2 linked regions of the Mytilus edulis genome follow. The protein of the gene in region 1 interacts with the protein of each later gene in a biochemical or structural test. Links are inferred from orthologs where the notes say so. Each region holds a gene or a part of one and is shown on either strand. Other genes may lie near its edges.

Region 1 (9,515 bases):
TGAGACATCAACCCTACAATACAAATAAAACAAATTATATTTAAAGGTAACATAAAGCCTAACAGCTGTCAAAACAAAATGCCAATCTCTAAATAGTTTGAGTCTAAATAGTTGTGAATAATTTAAACAGAAATTATCTTCAATATTCTGTCATCAACAATAAAACTTGCCAAATAGTTTAATACAACACTTCTTGTTGGATTGCTTGGTTCGTAAGTTAAGAGAATATGGGATAAAAAAAAAACAACAGAAAATGAGAGCAAGTAAGCACTATGCTTTGAATTTAATGCAGACTGTTAAAGTAAATTTAAATTATTATTATAAGCAAAACAAAATGCAATAATATTTTACCTGCACAAGTATCCATTGCAGCAAACAGCCAACTACTGCTTGTCTTTAGCCCTGGAGTTGGAGGTCCTAGGTCATCTGATTTTAAAGGATCAAATGAAGTAATGTCCAGCTCAGGTAATGAGGTACTTAACATGGACTCAGCATCTATAGCTTCTGAATCATCAGTATCATCAAAGGAGTTCAGACTGATGTTGTCAGGAACTCGGGGGAAATTCCATACTCCTTCTAAACTTTCATCTGTGTCACTGTAAAAAAAAGAAAATAAATATGTCCATAGTGATTTGTCAAATTCAACCAGTTCTTTAGAATTGACAAGACAAGATCTAAATAAAAAATCTAAAATAAATATTTCTTCTTCACAAGATTGAAAAATTTGCTTAATATTGCCATTATTTGTTTTATCAATTGAAATTATAAAACAGCTACTCACTACTAAGTCAATGAAAAAGTTTATAATTTAAATTAATTTTGATTGATTGGTGTTTAATGTACTTTTAACACTTTTGTGATATATCCTGCCTATCAGTTTTTATTGTTGTAGGAATCCGGAGTGCCCAGAGAGAACCACCAACCTTTGGTTGGAAAATAAATTTTGAAATGAATGTATAAACTATGTAAAATTTTGTATCTTTTCACTTACCCATTCTCTTGTTGTGAACTATTCCCGTTACTGTTTTCTTCATCAGGAGGATGTTTGACTGGTTGTATGGGTTCCGTCTCTTTCTTTTTATTATTTTGTGGATTAGCTGACTGCATTATGTCCAGTTTTGATGGCTTTAATACTTTACCAGATACTCCTTCTTTAACTTTTCCACCCTTTAAGAAAGAAATAAATGAATTATTTCATGATCACAAGAATATCTACTCACATTTTAAGAGCAGAGAGCAATAATGGCATTATTTAACAAAGTTTTTAACTGAAATTTGTATCCTATATCCTAATTTGGCCAATTTGATAAGATACTTCAGGACTTGCTTTTCCGTTTGAATTTCCCTGCTTACAAGGAAGATAATTAACCTAGTGTTCTTTATGAGGAGTTAAAGTCACCTCTTTAAATTTATAGGACAACATGATTTGGGTGACTTTTGTGTGTAGTTTTGTGGAATGTTGTCTTCTCTTTCTTTTAGTCATATAGTTAACTAATTTTTTGTTTACAGTTTTTAAATTTAATCCTGGTATCTTCTTACTTTTTTGTTTAAATAACATTTTTAATTGTGTCAATTGATACATGCCTTAGAAGTCTTCTAAAAAATCTTATATATGACTTCTTTGAAAATGTCCTTTTTTTGGTTTAGAGGAAATTTTTTATATTCCCTCTAAACCAAAAATAGGACATTTTCAAAGAAGTCATACATAAGATTTTTTAGACAACATGATTTGGGTGACTTTTATTTTACATTTTCAATAATTAGCACATTCTGACTGCTCTTTTCAAAGAAAACAATCATTTTTACAATGTTTCACAAACCTTAAGAAATTCTTCAAAAATTTTAGAGTTATATAAATGTGGCTGACTTCCTATGAAGACTAAGAGATCTATGGCACTTTTTCTTCTTTCTTCAATAACTGTTTCTTCAAACCTTCCTGTATAAGCATGAAAAAAATTACACAGTTGATTAGATCGGGTAGTTTAAGAACTCTTTAAACTTCCTTTATCCTGAACTAATGGCAAAATATAACATCCAATTGTATATACATCTTATCATAAAAATTTCTAATAGTAATTTAAATGATGGCAAAATATGACATGCAATTGTAAATAATTCTCATCATAAAAATTTAACAAAAGTAATTTAAAGAGAGGCGGCATATTGAATTGACTGAATTTTAAATTCAATATAATAAATCTGCTGCATATTTCTAAACATATTTTCAACAGGCAAAGACATACTCAAATATTACACTTGATTTAATGCAGTTATACATAGTAATCTTTGGAACTATATAATTCTTTAGGTCTTATTTGGATAAATGAATAAATCGTTGCCAGGCTTATCTGCTAAAAAAAGTAAACACATCAAAAGAGTATCTGAGAAAATAATTTTGTTCACATAAAACATGAACCATACCAAACAACTTTGGTTTAGCGAATACTGGGAATGGGTTCCTTCTGTGTAAAGCTTTGTGTAAGTTTATCATTCCCTTGTATAATTCTTTAAAGTCATTATATCTCTTCCATATGATGATCTGAAAATACAAAACATAATTAAATTCTAATTTTCTGAACAAATTATAATGGATTAGATATGAAAATATATTATTATCATGGTTATTTAGTTACAAACGAATTCTACTAACTTTAGGTGAAACACTCTAAAATGTCATTCTGAATACTTAAAAAGATATATTTTCATGACAGGGTCATTTTTAGCTTGTTATTGTCCTATTTTTCAATTATTCTCTCATCATCAGCAAGAGTGATTTTAAGCTGAATCTCATTGTGACAGTGTGTATTGGAGTCTATATCCCCAGAGCTTCAGTTTTCAGTGTCGTCTGTTAACCTTACATGTAGCTGTATTTGGCAAATTAAACATATCAGAATTTTAGATCCTCAATGCTCTTCAACTTATGTTTTTGATTTGAGTATAACTAATGCGTTTTGGTAGACATCATGCACGTCTTGCATATGAAATTTTAATACTGGTATCTATGATGGGTCTATTTTTACATCGTTATTTTTAAGTATTGTCCTAGTCCTGGTGTATTAATGGATTGTATCAGTCTTAATTGGGGTTATCTAATTATGTTTTTTTCAGTCCTCTATTACAAGTTTAATACATTCTTACAATAACACTGTTATAACGTTTCTCAGGATTCAACTTTTTTGTAAAATTTTACCACCTTTTGAATTTTGCATTTTCTATGCCATGCATAATTTTTCACAGTACATTGTACCAGCAATGTCAAATCTATTCATGAAACAAGAATGTGTCTCCAGTACATGGATGCCCCATCCGCACTATCATTTTCTATGTTCAGTGGACCGTGAAAATTGGGTAAAAACTCTAATTTGACATTAAAATTAGAAAGATCATATCAACAGGTACTAAGTTTCAAAATGATTGGACTTCAACTTTATAAAAAACTACCTTGACCAAAAACTTTAACCTGAAGCATAACAGACAGACTAACGAATGGACGGACAGACAGACGAACGAACAGACCCACAGACCAGAAAACATAATGCCCATAAATGAGACATAACAACATCAAAAAGGTTCAATTTTCATTCCAAAAGGAAGGATGGGTCATTCACTTTACTTTATTGTTTTGAATTGTTACTATGTCCTTGATTTTTCTGAGACATAACTATTTATTTCAAGCTGTTATTAATACAAACCTCTGTGAGCTTATCTGATTCAGACATTCTAAAAACCTAGAAATATAAAATAAAAACAGATACATAATATAATTAGATGTCAATAAAACAGTTAATCTGTAATAAAAAAACACACATTAACAATTTTTTGCACTTGCTGAATAAAAGGAGTTAATTATAAGCAGGTAAAAGGAGTGCATCACAAGAAACAGTGGCAAAGTCGATGATGCAAGAACAATGAAGCTTACTTAACAAATTAAACACGATTTAAATCTACCCGATCTATAATTTACATGTATGCTTCCTATGGCTGCTTATATTATATGTCATGTAAGACATGTAAGATGTATAATGACCTAAATTTTAAGATTTTTCTAGTTTAAATTTTTTGAAACATGTATGAATGCTTTAATTTAAAGAACAATGTTCAGTCTCCCTATTAACTTTTTTGGTAATTGTGTGCATAGAAATATTCTTTTCTTAAAACATCTGTGACAGGATTGCTATTCTTATATGTGGTAGATACTTACCGTATAGCAGGTCATTTTTGCGGGTGTAAAATTTCAAAATTTTTATTGAATAAGGTATATGCAATATTTTGACAGTTATTATTTTGGCGGATTCAAAACTTATCAATATCCCCTTTTAATTGGTGGAATTTATTTTGGCGATCTTGTTCTATCTGCCAAAAATAAGCGAAAATTTACACCCCTCAAAAATAACCCACTATACGGTATATAATTAGTCAGTCATAAGCGGTTGACCTAAGGAAGACATTAATCCTGCGCGAGCTCAGTCAGTATAGGGGCTACCTTGTAACACAGAGGTCGAGGGTTAGAGTCCCTGTGGAGACCAGTAATTTTGTAATGAAACTCATGCTCTCTGGCTACTTTGGCCCTAACTAAAAAAACTCACAGTGGTAAGGGAAGGATTCTAGCTAGGGTATGTGAGTGAGAGTCATAATGGTATGATAACTATTGAGGTGAGGGAATTATGTGTGACTGGATTGCTTTCCTTAGTAAATCACTAAATGTGGTAGATAATTAGCTCAGTCGGGATACATGCTGCCTTGTAACACAGAGGTCCAAGAATCAAGCCCCGTCGGAAACATGGTTGATTTTAAATGGAGAATCATGCTCTCCGGTCCAGTTATAACATGTACATGATTTCCTACTAATTTGTACATGTATATATATCTGCCAGGAAAAAAATATGCACCAATAACCTTTGATTGAACACCTGACACCAAGTAGCAGATGCTACAATTTTAGAAAGAATGAGTCGACCCAGTGCAGGTGGACAGGCCTAGCAGTACTAGCATTGTAGAAAACACGATTCCCAACTGGTTAAAACGTATTGTGCATTGCCAGTGCATATAGCAAACATGCGGATTTTGAGTATGTAAATACTGACACATACAAAAAAATGTAATCAGTTTCCTATCAGTTCACTGATTCTAATATTTTTTACCCGGTTTGTGACGTTGAGGGTTGTTCTTGTGGGCTAATTTTATAGGGTAACTAAGAATGATATGGAGTTCAATTACGAATTTAAACGTACTCTAATTGTAACTTTATAAATTGTGAAGCCATTTGGATGTAATGTTGGATCAGAAACATTAAAATTCCATATTTTATCTTGCACAGATGTTTGACGTTTCATTCTCGATGCCATTTTCGACTTGCGGTGTTATGTCGTAAAATCGTAATGATAAGTCTCTTCTATAAGATTGTTTTATATAAACATCCTTATTTCTTATGTTATAAATATTTTCTGTTTTCTTACAGTAAAAGACGAAAATTTCTTCATCAAATACAAAAATAATGTGTATGTCGTAAAAGTATGAGAACAACTGTATTCCTGCTCATGACTCATTAGGGGACCAGATTTAAGCATTAAATTATTAAAAATGGGACTTTTAACCATTCTTAAGAAAATGAAACAGAAAGAAAAGGAAGTCAGACTTCTGATGTTGTATCCTTTTTGTTTTACTTGTGACTTAATCATTTTGTTCTCTATTTTATATGTAAATGCACAAGATTATTCCATATTTCAATTATTTGTATCAAAAAGTGAAAAACTTGCCATTACCTATCGTGTATCGTGTTTCTTTTGGTTCTTCTTCTTCTTCTTTCAGTACAGAGTCGGACTCTTCTTGAGTGTATAAATGACTCTTGCTCGTGAAATCATGAGGCCTTCCCTCCTCACTTAATAAAAACTATTTACAGGAAAAATTATTTACAAATAAAACTATGTACATCTGGGGTCAAAGGAGATCTAGGTGTGTGAAGCTCCTGTCAAGGCCTCTGGCAGGATGGTAAGGCTGGCCTTGAACTCTTCTAGTGTAGCTGCTGTTGTGGCTTTTTCCGGTAGAGTGTTCCATTCCCTGGTTGATCTTGGGAAGAAGGAGTACCTGTATTGGTCTTTTAGAGTGCGCTGTTGGTGTATGCGGTGGCCTCCTCTGGTCCTTGAATCTCCGGGTTTGTAATAATTAGAGGGGTCAATATCCACCAATCTATTGCGGATCTTATATGCCATGGTGAGTCGGTCTTTGCAGCGGCGATCTTTAAGAGGCTCCCATTTTAGTCTCTCCATTAAGGAGCTGACACAACCTGGGGATACATCTTGGTATTCATTGTACACGAACCTAGCTGCCCTTCTCTGTACTTGTTCTAGGTCTTTTTCAAGGGTATGTTGGTAAGGGTCCCATACAGTGGAGGCATATTCCAGGGTAGGTCTGACCATGGTGATATAGGCGTTAGCTTTGACTTCTGGTTTACACCGTCCTAGGTTCCTTCTCAAAAAGCCTAGTGTCCTTGATGCTTTGCCTACCGTCTGGTTGATATGTGTCTTCCACTGTAGGTCATTGTTTATGGTGACTCCCAGGTATTTCCCATGCTCGACTGCATCTAGTGTGTGACCATGTAGTTGGTAGTTCGTTATCAGTGGGTTTCTTTTGTTGGTAATCCGTATCACGATGCATTTCTCAGGATGGAAATTCATCTGCCATTGTGATTCCCACTCTTGGAGTTTGTTAAGGTCGTCTTGGAGTGTCTCGCTATCCTTTATATTCTTTATTTTTCTGTAAACTAGGCAATCGTCTGCAAATAACCTTGCCTCAGAAGATGTTGATTGTGGCAGGTCATTAATATAAGCCAGAAATAATAGGGGTCCGATGACTGTTCCCTGAGGCACCCCTGAGATGACGTCTAGGGGGCCAGACTTATGCCCTTCAAGCAATACGGATTGTGTTCTCTTGCTTAGGAAGTCTTGTATCCATTTGAGTGTTACTCCACGTATTCCGTAATAGTCCATTTTTTGGAGGAGTCTCTTGTGGGGCACTTTGTCAAAGGCTTTGGAGAAATCAAGCAGGTTAGTACTTCGCTTAAGGGTTAGTAATGAAAGGCGTGTGTTCATATCAAATTGTATTCAAATTATGCATTGAACTTTGCGCACAAGTCAACGTTACGTAAACTTGCAATATTCAACGTAAACAATACACCTTATCACTAATACCGGCTGACCCGGCCGCTTGAACTTGTGACGCATACAACAATCACTTTTCCATTGTGGCGTCAGATATTTTGTTTTATGACGTCAAAATATTACGGGAACCTGTGTGATATCCAGTAATGGCGGATAAATAGCGATAAGGTGTATAGGTAACGTTAGTGATGTTAGTTACTTAGTAAATGTACAGCAGCTAATACTTGAGACTGGGGGCGCTGAAAAATGAAAATTAATCTAAAATTATTAAAAAGAAATGAGCATACAAAGTGTGAAATGATAATTAACCATTTAAAGTCCATGTTATAAAATAGAAATTGTTGAATTGTCTATTCAGTATGATCATTATCAAAATTATGGCACACTTGATAAGTATATTGTCATGAAAATATTAAGTCCATGTTTGAATCTTTAGCTTGGCTTCAGTTTTACTCGGTGCTCTGTCTCCGTGAATTTTCATCATTTCTGGTTCCCTGCTTAATGTGTGTATCCTACCATTATTCTTCATTGTGTTGCTGTTTGATTGATACATCTCACAAAAGTCTTTGTTAATTTCAGTTGAATTGTCAGATACAACTCCCATTGATTCGATTTTCCCAAAACGTTTCAAATCGACTTCTTCTGTTTTGTGTTGTAACATGAAAAATGAGGATGTGGGTCCAGCTGAGGCTTTCATTGGTCCAGAAAGTAGGTATCCGAGTTTCGATTCTACTGCGGTCGGGCCTGGTCCACAGATAACTGTGTCTTCTACGATATCCCAGTAGTAATCCGAACCTATTAAAAATGAAATCCTGAATTTATCCATGTCCCTAACAGAATGCGCTAATCTAAGTCTACTGAGGTAAGGCAGTTTGGTAGAATTATCGAGTCGATGATAATGTACATGTATATGATATCTGTTTTAGGTTTATTGTTTAGTGATGTTGTAAATTTTCAGAAAAGTGCACACATAGAAAAATAGTGTATGGGAGCTGAGACTACTATAACACATAGTTATGTGTTTATTATAGTAGTCTCAGATAGGAGAGACATTTTAAACCCCTAACATGCAATATCCTTCATCCCTCTTCAGGTTTGGAGACTTTTGTAGTTGATCTGCAACACTTGATTTTAGACAATAGTCACATACTTATTGAACAATTGTGGTCAGCTGGTGTTCACATGTACTATATATTTACCTGATAAATAAAGTACTTGGATAAAACTGTAAAACCAATTGGTTTGATATGCTTCCATAGGGAGCATAAAGGGTAGAACAGTTGAATTGGATCTTCTTTAATAGAAGGAGAACACAGCTGGTTTACCATGTAAGTGCATCTTGGTGTTCCCCATATCTCAAACCCTCTTTAATCTTTTTCCTGGAATTAAAAATCATCAATTCCTGATATTTGGTTTCAAGCTTCATGCAAACATGGTTTAAAGTATGATACATTTTCACTCACTCATCAACTTCCTTATCGAATGAATTTACACAGATATGAACACCTATTTAGAAGATTTAAAGGTACTTTTTAAAAAGGCTTTGAACCTTTTTATATAGTTTAAAATTTGGAAAAGAGGTGTGGTGGTATAATTGCCAATGAGATAACTTTTAATCCGAGTCCAAATTATGTGGATGTCAGTATTAGACCGTGCAACGTTTCCAAAACTGATCAAGGACAATGAAGCATATCTTTTGATTATCAAACCTTAACATCATGTAGGGGATTGGACAATGCTGGAAAAACAACGATTCTAAAGAAATTTAATGGTGAAGATATAGATACAATTTCACCAACACTTGGATTTAATATCAAAACACTGGAACATAAAGGGTAAGATAACTGTCATGACTGTTTATCTTTCAGTTGGTAAGATATTCATTTTAAAAAAAACACCACAGTAACATATATGTATTGTTTCATTTTGGGATTTTAACAATTCAACTATGAGTCTTGTGAAATGGTAGATAGAATATGATATAAATATTAAAGCAGATATATATTTGGTATAAATAAATTCAGATTTGTATTTCTACAAAAAATATTACCATGATTACAAAAAACAGTTATTTCAGGAGATTAATTTTAAGAGAACAAGCTAGAGAGTTAAAACTTGAATAATCTTCATGAACGAATATTCAAGTTAGTGGGCTGTGAATCTTAAGGCACAATTTTACATGCAAAAAAAGAATAATTATTATTAAATGAATTCAAAGATACTATTTGAGAATGGTTTAGGACTGCACAATTTATAGTAGGTCTAGTTCATTTATGTACATGTATTCACATTTATAATCTTATTGATTAATTAATGTATAGGGAAATTAAAGTTTTTGTTGAAGTTACTATTGTTTCT
Region 2 (8,705 bases), on another chromosome or scaffold:
CTATTAAAGATTTATAAAAAAAACAATTAGATTGAGCATGATGAGATTGATCCATGTTTCCTTAAAGTGCCACATCTGAACATCAGCTTTATCGTGGCTTGAGCTTAAACAGAAATTTTCATGAAAAAAGATGTTTATGAATAACAGACAAACTGTCCTTCATGAGACTATAGCATTGGGAAGATTCTTTGTATAAGATAACCAATAAATTTTCTTGAAATTGTTTTGAATGTCAGTTTTAAATTGTCCTTCAATTTCTTGCGTCTTTTCTGGTTTTTTTTCACTTTTGAATGTCCAGTTGTTCATGTTGTTTAGCAGGTTATGTTGCACAGATTTCTTATTACTAGTAAAGGCTAAAAGATACAGGCCTTTGAATGTCATGTGAATCAATGTGTTTTGGTGATGTGTGCATTAGAAGACTCTGATAAGTGGAAGACAGTTTCTGGTTATTGACATGTACCCTAATGTATGCATTTGAAGCTTAAGGTTAAATGAATCAGTGGGTTTGGTGATAAAGGATGTCTGGTAACCATGGTAACTCACCTTTGTTATAAAATACAGACATTTGAAGGTCAGATGAATCAGTGGGTTTGGTGATGAAGGATTTCTAATGATCTCTAACAGCTGTGTCATCAACGATTCTACAAAAGGAATGTAAAATGTGAAAATCTTTTAATGTAAACTTTCTTATAATTTTGGAGAAAAAAAAACTCTTTTAACTCATCTTGAATAAGAATTTATAAACTACTGAATACATATACTGGCTAAAATACGGATTCATTATTTAAGGGGGAATCAATTTTCATGGATTGAGGAACAATTTTGTTTTATAGTATATTTGATTTCATGATTTTGTGCATGTTTGCTTACATGCGTTTAAAAATTACTGCTTTGTTGGACAGGATTATCCCTAACCCACAAAATCCATCAAAATTGGTTATATCAACAAATAGTACTTATGATTCCAAAGCAGCTCATTACAGGGGAAGCTTATTGTTAACAGTTTCAAGATGTATATGTATACAGAAAATAACACTACCGCAGGTGGGACAATCAATAAACGTTTACCTAGATGTCTAAGACAATCTATACATATATATCAGAAAACATACCTAAATGTCCATCTATTAGATGAGGCTGTTCTTGGTACTTGTCAACAATAACTGTAAAATAGAGACTAGTATAAACATGATAAACTTTACCCATCACATGATAAACTTTACCCGTCACATGATCTCACCAAGTCTTGTGTGATAATGCACATCATAAACATGATAAACTTTACCCGTCACATGATCTCACCAAGTCTTGTGTGATAATGCACATCATAAACATGATAAACTTTACCCGTCACATGATCTCACCAAGTCTTGTGTGATAATGCATATCATAAACATGATAATCATTAGTGTTCCAGCTAGGATTCCAAAAGGGCAGGGTGCCAATCCTGAAAAAGGGCATTTAACGCGTAATATGATAATATGAAAAGGGCATGTTTTAATAAAGATATTATTTATCAAACATTGTGTTTATTCATTGAATCACTGGTTACACAAGAGCAACATCATAAGTCCATTTAGAACTCTATCTTTCTACTTTTAAGGCTGAAAAACTTGTCAAACAGCTTGTCAGACAAGTTTTTAGTTCATTGATTGGCACAGTTGAGCTTTATATGCAGTATGTTTTGAAAGGTGACCTGCTTCATTCTGTTTCTATGGTCTGACACACTTTACCAGTTTCACATTTCTACCTCTGCTGTGCTTAATGGCAATACAGCACAAAACAGCTGTGTGCAGTGTTAGGATATAGCAACAGTGAAAATTTGTATTAAAAATAAAGAATACAGAAAAAGATGACCAAGACACCCTACCAACACTGCTACTAAGACCCTCTTTAACTTTTCCCATAACTCAAAATACTTAAACATATATATTCTTAAGCAAGAAGTATGAAGACATATTTTAGAATATGTTAAGTGGGTTACTCAATGCTATGAAATAATCAGATTGAGTTATCTTTCTTTATTCAGGTGTGCTCCTTCTTTGGAGGATTATAAACAGTACTTAGAAGATGTAAATATGATCAACAATAATATGAGGGCAGTCAATAACAAATACGTCTGAATTTGCTATTTATTTCACGGAGAACCAGTAGAACGATGTCTTCCACGAGTTGTTTATGGTTTTCAACTTTCTGTCATTACATTTTCTCCATGAAACTACGGTAAACATTGCAAATTGTGCCTAAGTTGTCGTATGCACATTTCTTCAAATATAATTGCAGATTGACCGATTCTATTTGAATGAATTAATGTTGATGATCATTAATGACCCATCCGATAAACGGATTACCTATAACAACAGATTATGACACCAGTTAAAACCGTTGATTAGCTTGGGGTCGTAAACAAAGTCATAACTTATCGCCAGGTAAAATTTAGTAATTAGCGGATCATATCATTAATAGGAACAAAATAATATACAATCGATCTTCAAAAGCCAGGGCGCCCTGGAAACTGTAAAAAGGGCACAGGGTGGCATTCAGGAAGGGCGGGCACCGCGCCCTCTGAAAACGGCCTAGAGGGAACACTGATCATGATAATACGTAACATTGTATAAAGCAACATTTAAATCCTTATTAAATAATAAATAACTATCCCATACCTGTCTACTTTAAATTAAAAAAAAATCTCCATTGTGTTTTCCAAGATCACTTTAGTCTTTAGAATTTTGCACGTTTTTTCAAATTAAATTCTCCCCCAAGGGTGACTGGAGAATAGAAATATGGTCACTTGGTCTTCTACCGACCGGCAATAAAACGCTTGCCGAAGTGAGGCGTCCGTTTGGCTGTGCGGGATGTATTACAGAGTTCACGAAAAGTGTCAGTCCTCAGGATTTTACCACCAAAATTTTCATCTATAGGACAGACACAATTTTAGTATTTTTCAATAGAATTAGTAGTGAGGACCAGTAGATTTTCTTCATGGACCACCAGGGAAAAAAAGATTTCGCGAACTCTGGTATTAAGTTCACAGTCACGTCCGGTTAGAATTGGGACGTTAAATTTGATGTCTCGTGTATAGAGAGTGCCACGCTCTTTGCACGTTAAGAACCCTTACAACAACTTGTTGAGGGCCCGTAGGTGGCCTGTTGTAAGGCAAAATTTCTGTCCCTATCCAATATACCCTCATTTTCAAGTGGCAGTCGAAATTTCCCTGACTATCATCCCTTATGGCCTCTATTATGACAAGACCTACCTATTGTATTTATTGTGAACTTGTTCTCGTCCTGAATATGCATGAAATATTTACCACTGGACGTTAAGCAACCAACAATCAATCAATCAATCAAATTAAGTTCTGGATTTCGAAATCAGATCCCCCTTTTTTTCTTTTATGTTTATAGTTGGGCACTGTTGTTCAATTCTACTTTTCATGCCTCACAAATCTGAACTTTTAAAAGGTATTGGTCATAATTTCTGATTGAAATATGTATTCAATTAAATTATGTTTGATCATGTTAAACTATTTTTAATGAGTCATGAGTTATGTTTGTTTGTCTATCAGTGTTACACATTTTATCGTAGCTTTCTTACATGTAAATCTCTCGACAGTGGTTTCAACTGCTACCTGGTCTTTAAATATATCTTTCAGATTATCTATCAGTCCTTTGATTTCATTGATTTCCTTGAATTCTTCAAGTATGTGGCCTTTTCCAATTTCTTTTTCATCGTCTTCGATGTTGTCCGCCATGCTTAGGAATCGAATAACATTACGGCCTTTTTCTGTTGATGTATCGGAAAAATACGAGAGAAATCGGGTTTTGCTGCATTATCTGCCCTTGATTTTCGCGGTTTTTTTTCCAAGTCAATTCGGCTCTTTCGGCAGTTATTTAAAATGTTTAAATTTAAAAACGCCAATCGATATTAAATTCGACACCTGACAGCATTTTCAAAAGTGATAATCCAAAGAGAAATGATTGGTACATCGTTAAAAAATAACAGTAAGAATCAGGAAACATTAAAGATATTGAATACTAGATATATGATATCATATGTTTTTGTGAGGGGAGTGGTTCCGGATACAATATTGTAAGGCACTTCAATTAAAGCCAAAGACAGAAAAAAACAATTAACAATGTATGAATAGATGTAGACATAATTTCAATAAAACATGTATCACATCAAAACATCCTAACTACATTGTAGACAGTAAAAAGTAAAATCACTAAAATACTAAACTTTCACTAAATGGACAAATCACTTTGTTCTTCCTATTTTCGCATTTTGCTTAACAGCATCTTATTCAGTATCCGTCATTTTTTTATTGGTAATCAAGAATCCGCCACAAATTCTGTATTCTTGGTACCCTAAAACGAGAATAAATTACCCGCTAAAAAGCCCGTTATACTGTAATTAATCTATAATTATCTTGGAAATATGTCGTGGTAGACCCAGTAATAATAATAAACTCATCATATATACCAGGATTGAAATTTTCAATTTAATTGCGCCATACGCCGCACTTTTCGTCAACATATGACTCATCATGCAGGGACGCTCATATAACGAATCTGAACAAATGTCGGTCAGTCAATTTGAACCAATTCCTAAAAAAATAAAGCGAAAAAGTTTCCCCAAATTTATGCTATGTAGTATTTTTTTTCCTTCAAATATTTATAAACACACACAATGTGATAAGAAAACAACAAAAATACCCAGAAATATCCTTTCATTTTTATATTTTGACTCATTTTACAAACCTGCACAACATTTCGTTACGGAAGTTATTAGTAAAGAAAGAACAGAAAAAGATGATATAACTGACGGACCTGTATTATAATTTTCTTCTTTTAAATGTAATTTTTATGCTTTTTATAAAAAAAAATATGTATAGGATCATGCATCAATTTGAAGTATATTTCAAAATTAATCTTGGAAGAACACTCCTTTTGTTTTTACGCATACCAAATAATTGATAGCTTGAATACCATACAGATGTGCATCATGTGAAGAATGAGGCCCCTCATGGGGGTCCTAGTAATCACATAATCACCATTTTTTTGCCAATATAATCACATAATCATTAAATATTTGCTTATCTTTAGTAATCAAATAATCATAAACTAAAAATACAGTCCTAGGTAATCAAATAATCATAAAATATTTGGCTTAATAATCAAATAATCATTAAAAAAACGGCCAAGTAATCACATAATCAAAAACCCCATGAGGGCCCTCAAGAATGTAGCTCAATTTTATTACAACAACAAAGTATGCATCCCACCAACATGTTTAACACCACCACATTATTTTTGTATGTGCCTCTCCCAAGTCAGGAGCCTGCAATTCAGTGGTTGTCGTTTGTTTATGTGTTACATATTTTATTTTTTTTCGTTCATTTTTTTACATAAATAATTTTTTTTCTCGTTTGAATTGTTTTACTTTGTCTTATCGGGGCCTTTTATAGCTGACTATGCGGTATGGGCTTTGCTCATTGTTGAAGGCCGTACGGTGACCTATAGTTGTTAATGTCTGTGTAATTTTTATCTCTTGTGGACAGCTATCTCATTGGCAATCATACCATATCTTCTTTTTTATATATATCATATTTCCCCCCAAAAAAAGTATAACATTCGCAATTGACATGAACCGCTTTGCCTTTATTAAGATGAAAACACTGAATTTGTGTTAAGGAAGTTAAAATGCAAATGAACAGTCAAGAATCTTAGTGAAAACACAATAAACAATGATAACTTCATTCATCAAATTTTTTTTTATGATCTCATGCATTTAATTCCTTTACATCAAATTTAAATCTGATTCGTTTCAATTTTCCTCCGACTCGTGGTCTTTTAATACAGTAAGTATGTTATTTTTTTACTTCTCTAGGTCACATGTGTATTTTGTTTAAAAAATGAAGTTCAGTTCTTCATCTTTGGTTGAAATTCGAAAGGAACACGTACATGACAAACCCACGATTATTCAGGATTTTCACTTTGGTAAGTGTTTTGGGAGAATATGCTGACTATCGATGTCAATAGTCAATACCTTATTCCTGTATCAAGCATTTAATGTAATGTGGATATCGCACTAAAACAATGATGTTTGAGGCTTTATCAACGGGGATAATAAAGTATTTTTGATTGAGGTAAAACATAATTATTATGGTTAGCAATATTTGGGTTTTAAATCGATGTCTTGTTTTTCGGTTAAAGACCATTGCCTGGTATAATTCTCGACTGAATCTATTAGTATATTAAAGTTGTGTTACCATCTGATATATTTGCAGTGGCGAATACAAAACTTTTCATAAGGGGAGCCCGTTCCAGTCATGCTTCAGTGATTCCCTATATAATCAACCAAATTTTCCTCACAAAAACAGGGGCGTGCCCCTAGCCATATTTTGCACTTTTGAATCACACATCTTGCAGATTTTGACAATGTTCTGTTATCTATGAATAAGGGAATAGCACATGGCTGGAGTCACGTTTATTTTTGAAAGTCGTCAACTTTTAAATTGCAATAGGCTTGCTATAGGTAAATATTTTCTGTCCTTTGGTCTTGTCTGTTTGAAACATCCCCCATCCCCCATTTTCATTCTTAAGTAAGAGATGATAGGTACGTAATCAACTAAGTAAGGAGGTATTCAGTTTAGATTGAACTGATTTAAGATGAATGTTATTGCCTTAGTTGATGTAATCGAGATATTTCATGGCAAAGAAAATTCCATAAAGGTATAAATATAATTCTCCAATTCATTTTTTTGAATGCAAACCAGTCTGAAAAGGACGTGACTTCCGCTGTCGGAAATGAGCGCTGTAAGTTTGTTTTAGTTTGAATGCGGATATGTATAATTAAGATTTTCAAACATAAGTTTCACGGAGAATGAATTTTGGTAAGCGCTTGTGAATAAAAAATGTACAGATGTAGTTGGTACCGTTTGTCATAAAGCTTTTACAGTAAGTAGAAATGTTTGTCGTCTTATTGTCTTGGTGGTGCTGTGTCGTCAATTTGGTTTGACAATGATTACGTAAGTTATTAGACTAACCATTTTTGGAACACTTTATGAACGCACCTCCTCCAAGACCATCATTGATAGAATACCGTCATATCATAATCTATTTGACCATTTTTACATCGCGTCGATGACCGTGAGGGCATTCCGATGTATTGTTGCAACATGTATGTATGTATTGTCTTCGAGATTCCTACCAGTGTAGACGAACCCCTTGATTGACTGCAATGGTACTGAGGATTCCTGCACACTCCCTAAGGATTAATGGAGATGTGTCCTTTACATAATAAACCCACCACCAGAACAATCACCACCCAACACCACCAAAGGGAGCGTGTAGGACACCGGGAAGTCTGTTATTATGTTGGAGGAAGCCGAAGTACTCGGAGAGAACCACCGGGCTTTTCGGCGGGAACAGACAACCCGAAGAGATTTCAGAAGATTGATTTTCAGGTCAAGCTGGGAACAACTTTGTCCTACCGATCGCGAGGTATTCAATCTAGTTTAAACTCCAGTCTGGATACCAGAGATGTGTGTGGAAGGGTGAAAATCACCCTACTGATGTACTGAAAATTCGACGTCTCGAGTGAGAATCGAACTCGGGACCTTCAGCACTGTAGCCATCGGTCTTAACCAATAGACCACAAACCCACACAGAGGTTTGACTTTCGTTTTTAACCGACCGTATAAATTCGCGGACAATATCGAGTGCAAAATAACAGTCATTAAAAATTATTTATTCAATAAATAATCATAAACATATTTTTTTAGAACATAAATTAATAATATAAAAATGATTTGTCGTTAGAAATATATATAAAGGTAAATAATCATTAATATCTATGCACACTACTCGTACCAAAAATAATACATTTGATGTCATTGTTTAATTAAACTAACCAACAAAGGAGTATGGCTTCGAAGTGCCTATATTGGCCGAAATGAAAGTTTTGTTGAAAGAAAAATGTATTAAGACCCTTTTGAGCCAAAATTTACTTGTCTATAAGTTTGTATTATAAAACTTGACATTGAGGATTAATGCGCTACATAGTGTAACGGAGGGGGTCGGTGAAGACACCTCCCGGCACGTGTAGTGGCCAGTACTTCGCCCCTATTCGACCATCGGGATACCTGATATCAGATTATGGCTGAACAACAGACAATAAATCAAATGAAACAAATTTTATTCACAAATGTACAATAATTGAATCAAACAAAGTCGGAAATAAACAGAGTATATAAATTTCTTAAAAGAGGGACGAAAGATACCAAAGGGACAGTCAAGCTCATAAATCTAAAACAAACTGACAACGCCATGGCTAAAAATGAAAAAAGACAAACAGAAAAACAATAGTAAACATTACACAACACAGAAAACTAAAGAATAAACAACACGAACCCCATAAAAAACTAGGGGTGATCTTAAATGATGTTCAAAATTAGAGTTTTATTTAATTTCAAATGTAAAATGAAAATAAAGTGTTCCCAGAGATAGTCTTAAAAGTTAAGCCAATTAGCTTCGCGTTGTGTTTTAAAGTAGTAAAATTTGCACCAAAAAGGGGTGACTAACTCTGGCAAACTGCACCGAAGTGGTGGCTAATCCTCTATGCTCCGGTGGTACTATTTTAGTTCCCGAGAGCCTCGAGTGGAATGATACATTCCGGCGAGTATTTGGAGGCCTATGCAAGGC

Evidence for each region.
Region 2: the proteins of ADP-ribosylation factor-like protein 2 (region 1) and tubulin-specific chaperone D-like form a complex in vitro, tested with the Homo sapiens proteins (2 studies listed by BioGRID and IntAct). The link is inferred for Mytilus edulis from reciprocal best matches to the Homo sapiens genes ARL2 and TBCD.

The regions. Positions count from the first base shown.
Region 1 is NC_092346.1:19,391,482-19,400,996, forward strand, and holds the start of ADP-ribosylation factor-like protein 2, read left to right. Parts: upstream 1-5,504; 5' UTR 5,505-5,580; coding exon 5,581-5,645; intron 5,646-8,881; coding exon 8,882-8,992; intron 8,993-9,515. Other genes in the region: ribosomal protein S6 kinase delta-1-like, read right to left, coding at 352-596, 992-1,167, 1,821-1,936, 2,422-2,539, 3,693-3,728, 5,232-5,345. UniProt on the Homo sapiens protein: Small GTP-binding protein which cycles between an inactive GDP-bound and an active GTP-bound form, and the rate of cycling is regulated by guanine nucleotide exchange factors (GEF) and GTPase-activating proteins (GAP).
Region 2 is NC_092352.1:73,255,166-73,263,870, reverse strand, and holds the start of tubulin-specific chaperone D-like, read right to left. Parts: upstream 4,368-8,705; 5' UTR 3,752-4,367; coding exon 3,595-3,751; intron 1,164-3,594; coding exon 1,113-1,163; intron 642-1,112; coding exon 544-641; intron 1-543.